Linked DNA regions of Rattus norvegicus. The protein of the gene in region 2 interacts with the protein of the main gene of each other region in a pairwise test. Links are inferred from orthologs where the notes say so. Each region holds a gene or a part of one and is shown on either strand. Other genes may lie near its edges. The genes, in order: Fam13c, Kif2a and Mrpl53.

Region 1 (3,651 bases), on a different chromosome or scaffold from region 2:
TAGAATATAGTTACATTTTAATAGCAATTGTATACATCTCACGAAACCATTTCCCTTATCAAAGATGTAATTTGTAAACCTCAAATAGTTGTGTATCTGTCCTGTTACAAGTAGATGACTTCAATTAAACAAATTTATGAAGGCCATTACTCTGATTCATAAAAGGTTGAAAACGTCAGGTGAATACAGAGAGAACAACACGCTCTGACATAGTCCGTGTCTAGAATCTGTTTTCTTTTCTCCGCCCAAGCAATATGAAAATCTTGAGTTTCTTCAACACCATGCTTAAACATTACAGAAAACAGAAATATGAACAGTGCTGATAATGAGAAAATGTCTATCTGTTACTTGATTTCACAAAAACCAAACCGAGACGTTGGTGAGTGGAGAAAAAGCAAGATACACTGACTAAAGCAAAGAGAAGGTCTCTTGGTGACTTCCAAGCTTCTTACCCTGTGCAGAAGGAATGCAGCTCACGAAAAAGGTATTTCACTTTATAAAGTACAGACCTTGGAACATTAACAAAGATGCATATTCCCAATGGAAAAATAGTTATAGGATCTTAGTATAGGAAACAAGAAAATCAGCAATAGTACTATGGGCACAGTAGCTTATTACTGCAGACACATCTATCCAAAATACCTATTTTAATAGTTTACTTTAATATAAACATTTTTCAGTTATAGACAAAGATAATTCACAAAGTACATGCCATCCAAGTGAACTTTGGTAACTGGAAATGTAAATTTTCAAATAACAGATAGAGTGATGCACTACTTCCATAGAAATAAGAGGTTAGCAGTGACACAGCTGAGTCACTTTACAGTGTTGACCGTCTACAGACTTAGAGGACAAGGTAGTGGATGTCATCTCACTTAAATTCCCTTCTGTCTGGCTGCTTTCCTCCCTGAATGTAGAGCACAAGTTTTCTTTGCCTCACCAATGTATTTAAACCGTGTTCTTCACATACATCAATAAAATCAACTTGGGGACACCTCTAAACCTTTCCTAAGCAGGTAGACTGCCTACGTGTTAATTTTGGTTTAACAAGGTATTAGACGTCTTTTGAAACAATTACATTTGACTCTGGACTTCAGTTTGTCATGGAGGCTTTTGCCCATTCCAATATTACCTATCATTTCCCTATTGAGACGCCTTCTTGGGTAGAATTACGCTAGCTCTCCCTTCATCAAAACAGCTAATACTATCTCTAAAGTGCTTCCGCTTTCAGGACATCAGAACTACTGAGCAAGAACGGTAGAGGAAAATAAATTTGACTTCTATCTTTAGAGGAAGTGATCAGAGCCGAACCTCAAATTGTTTTGGCCACATCCTGCTTGCTGATGAGGACCTCCAACAGCCTCAGTTTGGCTTTTATGTGCTTGTATGCACAGTACTCGTCTGCCATTGGCATCCTGTCTTCCTTCTGTGGGCTTCTGCAGGAAAGAAGACACAATCTATTAGTCAATACTCGAGCCAGGTCTTAAAAAGATCCTCTTATAACTGATGGGCCCGTGGCTTCCAGGTGGCTCTCTTTTAATGGTGCCTTCTTGACGTCCCTTTGGTCTCATCCCACCCCTGCTCCATTTCTCTAAGCAGCAGCAAACGTTGGCCACGTGTCTTTGCCAATACGAGACCCCATGCCTGAGCACAGAACAATGGTGCAGGTACAAAGACTTGAAGAAAAGGCAATGGCTAGAGCCTCCAATATGGCCTTTCCTCTCGTCCTCTTACTTCCGGTAGTTCCATAATCGTCCTGAAAACACTGCAGGGATTCAATTATACGAGTAACCCATAAGTTCATAGTGGCAAGACCTTCCCAGGGGCTGCCTTGTACGCTGGGAATGTTTCCAAGTTTCCTTGTGGTTAGACCTGTTTCTGCTGATGGGAACTCCTGTCCCTTTGACGGAAGTAATCATGAGTCCAAATCATTTGAATTGAGACCAGTGCCATGGCTCAGTGGGTAGTGACGGTGACTGCTACCAAACCTGATGGCCTTATGACCACTTGGTGGAAGAAAGAACTGACCCCCCAAGTTGTTCTCTGGTCTCCGTTCATGTGAACACATCCATAGTTTCAATTGCAATGGCTCTCTTTCTGCACACTAATTCAAAGGCTGGGCATGTTTCAATGCATAGACCTTGCTTGGTCCACACACAGTTGGAGTGCGCTTGTCCTATTACCATACTTACAGTGTCGCTACATGTATAGAAAAACAATTCTCATGGTCGTTTTAGCTTCATAAATGGATTAAATCTTAGTGGTAAATCGTCTTAAAGAAACAAGATAACGCTATTGTCTTGCCATGTAACACAGTTTAGTGTTAATAAATGAGCGTTTTCTCATTGAGATGACATGTTATCACCACAAGAGGACATACAGTTTCACGTAGATCAAGCGTGGATGTATGTTAAGTAGGTTTAGGCAGTGTAAGTACAATGAAATGAAGTGTTCCCTCACTGCAGTAGGGCATGGATGAGCAGCAGTCCTGGTTTTCTGCATACCCTTTCTTAGATATAACCTGATGCATGGACTTACACAGAGCCACAGTCAATGACTACTACTAAGAACAGGGAGAACGATTAAACCACCATTGTTGCCAAAAGTCATGTGAAATAATACTGAGAGATCCACAGGCAGACTCGTCACACTGAAACCTCCCAGAATCCATTGCACACTGTGTTCGAACGGGTCCATGTGTAAATTTCTTCAGGGACCTCAAAGTAAAGAAAAGACTATGTGTGTGGCTTAAACCTAATTAACTCATTTTTCATGCAATGACTATTTAAACTCAAAATCCTGAACCCACAGCAGATGTTTGGCTGAATGAAGACCCTCCCGCTGAATAACTTTAAAGAGGAACTTAAATGCAAATCAGATGTGTGCTTAGAGCACCTAGTAAGCCTGTCGCTTTGCCTTGCCGAGCCACAGGTTTCTCGCCTGGGAAGCCTACTGCTGATGGATAGCAAAAGAGAAAAGCTCCCAAGGACTGTGAAGCAAGCCCTCTAGGTGGACGTCTCACGATGCTTTAGTACAGTCCCGCTCCCTTACAGCTGAGAGGAAAGGACAGCAAGGCAGGCAAGAAAGGCAGTAGATGCTTAGAACCTCGTAGTCATCTGCCATTTAGATTGTGACTTTGGCAAAGTCACATGCTTGCGAGAATGTCCAATCTTTTGACATTTTTGCCCAGTGTTGTTGTCTCCCAAGTTCAGGCTGGAAAACACACAACCTCGCTTTTTAAAATTTTTTAAATAAATGTCATTGTATTGGGTTTTGTTAGGCCATTTGCACTGCCGTCCTCTGGGAGTTGTGACAAGTTAGAAACGCTGATGGCCAGGGCGTTGAGACTAATGTCCTGTCATAGTCCTAGCTTTCAAACTTATCCCAGGAGACAAAGTGTTGCAGCTTATTGAGGTCAGAGACTGAGGGCAGCTAAGTAATTTGTCTCTTCTCCAAAAGACACTAACATTCATTACCTGATTCTATATGGAACTTTGTTGGTAACGCAATAAAACAAATTACTAGGAATTAATGGGTGTATTCCAACAGCTGGGTTGGGATAGAAAAATATAGGAAGACAGGTGGGCCAACTAAATATTTAAGGGAGCGAAAAATAGCTATGAACTTTTTGACTAAAGCTTGGAATAAAAC
Region 2 (4,368 bases):
AAACTCAGATTATCAGGCTCAATCTTTTCACCAGCCCTAAATGTCATTTGAACACAAACATCCAAAAATGAGCAAGCACTCACCTGTTACCCACCTGAGTGTGGGGTCATGACAGATGTACTGAAGCAATTCCTAAGACCATTAAATAATATCAATATCCTGGCTCTGGTTGAAGTAAGTGTGGGTATCTTCCCATGCCTCCAAAGCCTTCTCTATCCCAGGGGCTCTAAACGTTCTTGAAGCTGCAACCCTTTAACATACGTCTTCATGTTGTGGTGACCCCCCAACCATAAGACTACTTCATTGCTCCTCTATATCTGTAATCTTGCTACTGTTATGAATCATAATGTAAATATCTGATATGCAGGATATCTGATAATGTGACCCCCACAGGCTGAGAGCCACTGCTCTACACTGAACGTCTACTTTAGTCATATAGTTTGAAAACATATTAAGCAGTACAGTTCTAAGTATCAATGCTTAAGGAAATATGCTGTCTCACGAGCAATACAGGATGACATAGGAATTCAGAATCCCACCCACTGGCAAGCAGATTTCAATCATCAGTGAGGACTTACTGGGATTAGCGTTTTTTGGTAGGATCTTCAAAGATACGAATAGGCCCATTTTGGTTTATGATTTGGCCTTTGGAATCTTTTACTATACGCTATCACTGATAGGAAAAGCTGGTCAGGACAAAGACCATACATGCAGTGCTGTATCTATTACTAGGTTAACAGCAGGTTGAAGTGGCCTTTATTTATTCCTGTGATTTGAGTTTTCAGGATATCAGTGTTTATTCAACTACTAGGTTCATTTATTTAATTTTATTGTTTTGCAATAAAGGAAGCAAAAAAAACAGCCTCTTTAAAGTAAAAAGAGGGAGGGCTTGGAAGTGCCTCATAGAAATGAAATTGAACACTTTCAATTCCAGTTATTTCCTTTGAAAGTTACACACTTTTTAGGACTGAGAATGTAGCTCAACCGGTGAATGCCTGATCCCTGGAACCTCACAAATTGGTACTCAGGCGGGAGGCGGGAGCTGTTCAAGGTCCTCAGCTACAAAAAGTTCAAGGCCAGTCTGAGACCATAAGGTCTCCAAAACCAAGAAATTAAACATGTTGTTTTTAAAAAGTTACCTACTTGGGCTCTCTTGCATCCAAGACATGTAAATATTTACACTGTCAGTTAGGGCAATACACACTGTACAGACTCCCCTACTTGGTGAGGGAGAACACTTTTGAAAATGTTTTCTAGGTTACTCTAACTTGGACTATAAAGCTTTTTGTGTATCACAATTTCTGCTATAGGCTGAAGCTAATATCCTAGAATCACCAAAGAACCAAAATTACTTCAAGTCCAATACATAGTAAAAAGCAAATGGCATCTCAGATAAATTGAAGCAGAGAGCTCTTGACTATCGAGTTATTTTTTTAACGATTTCAGTAACTGCCATAGTTAAGACCTTTAAGACTGTGAAGAACATACATTTTATTATACTTCAAGTTTTAAATTAACTCGTAAGTCCTATATTTGTTAATACACAGCCAACCCACATTCACCAAAAAGAAAAATGGCATATTTAAAAGAAAGTAATCTGCAGAGAATTGATAAAGCAAACTCCAATCCAAGTAAAGAAAGCATCCCTTTCCCATTTGGTAACTTCTAAAGCTCTATAAGTTATAATGTATTTTCTCATACACAAAATAATCCTACCAGTTACCAAATTACTGCAGATGCAAAGAGGGAGGGGGAAAAATTAACCATATAAGGTCTTCCAACGCATCATAAATAACAGGAAAACCAATCTACCCATGTATACTGATGTGACTTGGTCAAATTTGGTAGAAACCAAGAACTGTGTGTCACAGTCATGCCCATACTAATTGAAGTAAGGGATGGCCACAATTAAGAAAAAGGAATTGGGTACATGTGGGATGCAGTCAAGAATCAACTCCTAACACTAGCATGTATAATTTCATTCATCCCCTTATACTCAGTATTTCCTTTACAATATAGGTGGTTTTCACTTTACACTTAGAAGTGACAAAAATACCCCCGTCCCCCAAAGAGGGATGAACCTACAGCAACATCCACAAGCCTACGGGTCTTTAAAAGAAATGAATTAAACATGTCTCTTCACCTCGCCTTACACTTTTCTCAGTTACCTCCCGAGGGTGTGAAAATATCAACATCCGGTCGCCCACCCCCACCCTCCCTCTCAGTAGTGTCTCCCGTGGACTGCGTCCATCCTCCTTCCATCCTCTCCTTCCCTTTCAGTATTATCACCTTGGAGAAGCGTATTGAGTATTTCTTTCCGTTACTCCCCCACCCCTTTTCATGGTCGAGTGCAGCCTTCTGTGCACCTGGACCAGCAAAAGAAAGCAGCATGCTTGGGGGGGAGGACAGGCAAAAAGGCCTGACAACCGGGTAGCAGTTAAAGACAACCGGATGGCTCCCCAACGGCCTCTGGCTGCCAGTCGGGTCTCTCGGTGCGGAAACCCCCGATCTTCCACGCTACCGCCCTCGCCACGCCACCGATGCAGAGACCCGCAAAAGGCAGAGCCGGGGCAGTGCGAGGCACGGTCAGCCCTAACGGAGTCTCCCGGGCGGAGGACCGCGAACCCGGGAGCGGCCCCCGCCCTTCGGCCGGGGCCCCGCACTGCAGCGGCGCCCGGGCGGACCCCACGCCCGCCTCATCCGCACAGCGCCGCACACAAAAGCGCCGGGCCGCCGCCTTCCCGCCCCCACAACCCGTAGAGCAATCAAAGGGGCGGTCGGCCCGGCGCGGCCAGAGGCGCGGCTCACCATCGCTGCGCTTGATTTCCACGTAAATCCCGATCTGGATCTTGCCGAAGTTAGCCGTTGCCATCACCTCATCCGGAGCGGCGGCGGCGGGCGGGCGAAACAGACGGGGAGGGGGCGGGGTGGCGGCGGGAGGGGCAGCGGTGGCCCGCGGCCGCGCCGGCCCGGGAGGCAGCGTGGACGCGAGCGGGGCCGCGGCGAGCGGCAGCGGACGAGCGGGCTGGAGCCCCGGGCCTGCGGGAGGGCGGGCGGGCGAGCGGGCAGGCGCGCACGCCGGGCGTCGGGGTGAAGCAAGGGCCGCAGCCGTGAGGCGGCGCGGGGGAGAGTGGGAGGGCTCGCACCGCCCGCCCGGACCGACGCTGGGGAGGCGGGGCGCCGCGCGCCTGCGCACACTCGGCCGCCCGCGTCTTCCAGCCGGGCGCCCGCGCGCTCCGGCCGCAGGCGGCCCCGCCCAGCTCCTCTGCGGCCTGACGGCGGGCGGGTCTGAACCGTCCGCGGGAACGGGAGCGCGCAGCCCGGCGTGGTACGAACTCGCCTCGGGTTTGATTCCACACGGCCTACGAGGCGCGGGAAGCGACTCGCGATTCCCTTCCTGAGCTCTGGCTCCGCCTGGACGCTTGCCGCAGGAATGGGTTGAGGGCCGAGTAATGTCAAGGCTTTCGGGGCGCCGGAGACTGAAGGGACGGGCCCATTACAGGACTGGTTCAGTGTATTTCTGTGGCTGTCAGATCACATGCCACTCGGAGGCCTCCGGTCCTCAAGGAACCTTCCTAAGGGTAGGGCATGCCTGGTTCAGGCTTCCCATCAGTTATGGAGGGAAGAGTGTCCTCCACCCTAAGTAGGAACGGAGACCTCCCCTTTTCCCTAACGACCCAGCTCATTGCAATTCAAAGCGAAGCCCCCCTGTGTAGCCCTCTAACTTGCACTTAAGATCCAGCGGGTCTGTCGTACTATCCTATTGCTCCTGTGGAGCTCAAGACTTATTTGCCCTAACTCCAGCAGCTATGACTCAAAAATCAGAGCAAAGACTTGAAGAACACTGAATAATGAGCCTCTTCTGCAGTCATCTGACTGGACTGACTACATCAGCAACATCTGGAGAGTGCCAATACCCTACCCCTGCCAAGCAAAGGGGCAAGTGGACAAGAGACCATTGGAAACTTTACAACATCGTATAAGCCTGAGTCTCACTGGTAGTGCTTGATGGAAGAAGCAAGTTTTCATGATCTACTTTGCCTGGTCTTTTCCCCCCCAATTCCTTTTTATAATTTATTTTTATCTTATGTATATTGGTGTTTTGACTGTATATATGTATATCTGTTTGAGGGTGTCAGATCCCTGAAACAAGAGTTACAGACAGTTGTGAGCTGCCTTGTGGGTGCTGGGAATTGGCTCGTCTGGAAAAGCAGTTAGTACTCTCAACCACTGAGACATCTCTCCAGCCCTGCCTGACCATTCTTAAGCTGCATGTGATGAATCAAAATATGGGCCTAAGAGTCGAACGTTGGAATATAAGTGTAAAAAATGCTCTTTTTGTGCCTGGAGTTTCCAATCTAATAAAAG
Region 3 (2,867 bases), on a different chromosome or scaffold from region 2:
ACCAGGCTGGCCTCTAGGAGAATGAGAATGGAAAGGTCTTGCTAAATAGACCAGGCTGGCCTCCTGAGTAGCTGGAATAGTGTGTGCCAATAGATGGGGCTGGCTCCTCTTTCCTCTCAGTGCAGACAGACCAGGAAAGGGAGGGATAGGAGAGAAAACACTGAACTTCTAGCCTAGAAGGCTGAGCAGGGAAGTCAGATGAGCCAAGAGACTGTTCTACTTGAATGTTGGTGGCAATATGGAGGAAGTTGGCAGAAGGTAATCATAATCAGAAGATGGGATTAAACCAAATAAAAATGTAGGGTTTAAATCCTGAGTAGTTAAAATGACAGCAGAATGGGTGGCTCCATGAGAGTGAATGGAGAGGAGACACTACTAAGAAAGGTGAGTACTGAAGGCCAAAGGTGGGGCATGGCTGGAATCCCAACACTCAGGAGCCTGAGGCAGGAAAATTTCTTTCACATTTCTAGGCCACCGTGGTCTTCATATCAAGTTTTAGGTTAGCTCATGTAAGACCCTCTCTAAAAATCCAAGTGAACAACCTAAGAAAAACAGCATTCATTTGGCAATAAATATTTAATTAAAATGTACGTGGGTGACAGATTCAAATATGGTTAAGCAGTGAGAAAGAAAAATTCAAATTTGTACGGACCCTTCACCACCCAATCTTATCTTGCCCCAGCAGCACTGTTGTTAGGGTTCTTGCTCAGTATCATGACCTCCATGCAGCATTTAGAGTGATTAAGCCCAGCTCTTCTTAAACCACTGTCTTTAGTTTCAAGCCAACGTCGGTTGTTGGGATTCTTCTACAATGTCATCGGCGGGTACCCGTACCTGGGGCGACCTTGTCTGCGCTGGGTGCAGATGCTGCTGCGGCAGCGTTCCTAGCCCGAATGTGGGAGGCCAAGGCACTTAACATTTCCTGAGTGGTGAGGTGGGCTCCTCGCATAATCAGCCGATACCCATCTCCTGGGGAAGATGCAAAACGATGAGTAAGGGACCCGGAATATGTAGAGCTAGGGTCGCGCTCCGTCCTCGCCCACCAGTGTCCCTGTCAAGTTTACCGAATAACACGTCCACGCAGGGCTCAGAGCCGTCATGCCTCACGTCGGCGATCACAGAGCAGTTGAGGTTGGTGGCGCGGACTTTCTCGCTGCTCACCGCCTGGAGAAAGGTCCTGCGGTGGGAGGGCAGGGTAAGCGCGTCCGGGGACCAGGGAACCTGGAGCAGGGACCAAGGTGTGCGCGCGAGGGAGGGAGGGCGGGACTGAGATGCCCAGGAACTCCGGGAGGGGGTCGAGGGTGCGCGCGCACGTGTGGGGAGCGCGGACGCCTCCCACCTCCCCAGAACCTGTACCTTGTTGACTCCACGTTCTTCTCAAACGGGCAGAACTGAACTCGAACCAGCTTGACCGGCCGTAGTCCGAGCCGAGCCAAAGCCGCCGCCATGGTTACCTCCGCCCCGGAAGGAGTAGCACTGGGGATCCTTTTATTGAAACAGACTTCCGGTGGCCTCCGGGGTACTTCTCCCGGCTGCCCTCCGGGGCTGCCAAGGGGCCCAGAGTTGGTGGTCCATAAATACTTTGGCCATTAGCAGTGTTCTGTGCCACACACAGCATAGGCAGTGAATGTGTAAGACCCCCCTACGTACGAAAACGCCCTTCAGCCTTTTCAGTGTCCTACCTACTAGATCTAGGTCAGCACCATCCTAAATCCTGGCTCCTTCCGTTGAGAGGACGATCACAGCAGGGATTGTCCACCCACCAGAAGGCAAGCTTTGCCCAGGTAGCAACAGCCAAAGCTTAAATGTCAAGGTCCTGCAGCCTAATGACTAAAAGTAGAAATGAAGAAGGGGTAAGACAGGTCCCTCCACATGTAGAAATGTTTGCTTCCTCTGTGTTTCCTCATGAATTAACTTTAGCCTTGCTCCTGGGATTCAAGAGAAAGCAAGTAGCTTGCTTCCGTCTCCTGAGAGCTAACCCTATAGACCCCCTTCTATTTCTAGCTCTAAGATGTCTCCATTGTTTCCGACTTTCAGATTTCAGGCTGTAGTTTGCCTATTACTCTGAATTGCAGATCCTAGGATCATCTGGGGTTCAATTCCAGACTCTAGTTTATGAACGTGTTTTATCAAGCGCCCAGTTTTAAGCCTCTCTAACATACAGTTCATTGCCTGGGGCAGGGTTTGGAACTCCTGGCTCTGGTCAACTTAGGGTTCAGGACTTGTCCCTAGGCAAGAGAAAAAAGGCAGGTGCCAACGAGGGTGTTGGTGCAGCCTCAGGGCAAGCCAGGCTTGCTGGTTTCCAGCCAGGTAAGCCTCAGGACTAGGTCCTCCTCCCCCTCCCCCTCGCCCTCCTCCCCCCAGGGTGCTTAGCAGGTGAGTATTCTGGGCTGGGGAGACTCCAGGCCTTAGAGGGGGTGCCAGACTTTCCAGGCTGTTGAGGCTGCTGGTGGGCAGTTCAATGGTCTGGACCTCATTACAAAAACCTGAAAAGCAGGAGCGGAAGGCGGGTTGGTGGGTAATGCTGATGCCAAATCAATGGTGAGACTGGGTGTGGGTCTTTTAAAGCAGTGATGGAAGGGGTTTAGAGACACCTAGGGTTGAGGAGGGGCGATAACTCACAGCAACGGTGAGGTCTTCTCTGGACTGGATTCTTGGGCAGGGGTTGCTGCAGAAGACACAGCAGGGCCCCATCCAGCTGCTGGAAGATGCTGAGTGAGAGCAGAGTCTGGCGAAGCTCCGGGGACAGGCCCCACTGCTCCTGTTCCAGAACCTCTCTGACCACTCCGAAGTCTTGTTTGAGCTGCAGCGCCCCCTGCAGGCTAGATGTTCAGATACAATATGGCCACCAGACACTTCTGCCTCCC

The links.
Region 1: the proteins of Kif2a (region 2) and Fam13c interact in binary tests that used the Homo sapiens proteins (3 or more experiments, as listed by UniProt). The two-hybrid records come from large-scale screens. The link is inferred for Rattus norvegicus from reciprocal best matches to the Homo sapiens genes KIF2A and FAM13C.
Region 3: the proteins of Kif2a (region 2) and Mrpl53 interact in binary tests that used the Homo sapiens proteins (3 or more experiments, as listed by UniProt). The two-hybrid records come from large-scale screens. The link is inferred for Rattus norvegicus from reciprocal best matches to the Homo sapiens genes KIF2A and MRPL53.

The regions. Positions count from the first base shown.
Region 1 is NC_086038.1:18,064,758-18,068,408, forward strand, and holds part of Fam13c (protein FAM13C), read right to left. Parts: intron 1,437-3,651; coding exon 1,313-1,436; 3' UTR 1-1,312.
Region 2 is NC_086020.1:40,161,863-40,166,230, forward strand, and holds the start of Kif2a (kinesin-like protein KIF2A), read right to left. Parts: upstream 2,919-4,368; 5' UTR 2,873-2,918; coding exon 2,809-2,872; intron 1-2,808. UniProt on the Homo sapiens protein: Plus end-directed microtubule-dependent motor required for normal brain development. May regulate microtubule dynamics during axonal growth. Required for normal progression through mitosis. Required for normal congress of chromosomes at the metaphase plate.
Region 3 is NC_086022.1:117,171,628-117,174,494, reverse strand, and holds Mrpl53 (39S ribosomal protein L53, mitochondrial), read right to left. Parts: upstream 1,453-2,867; 5' UTR 1,449-1,452; coding exon 1,357-1,448; intron 1,178-1,356; coding exon 1,065-1,177; intron 970-1,064; coding exon 815-969; 3' UTR 562-814; downstream 1-561. Other genes in the region: Ccdc142 (coiled-coil domain-containing protein 142), read right to left, coding at 2,209-2,486, 2,623-2,822.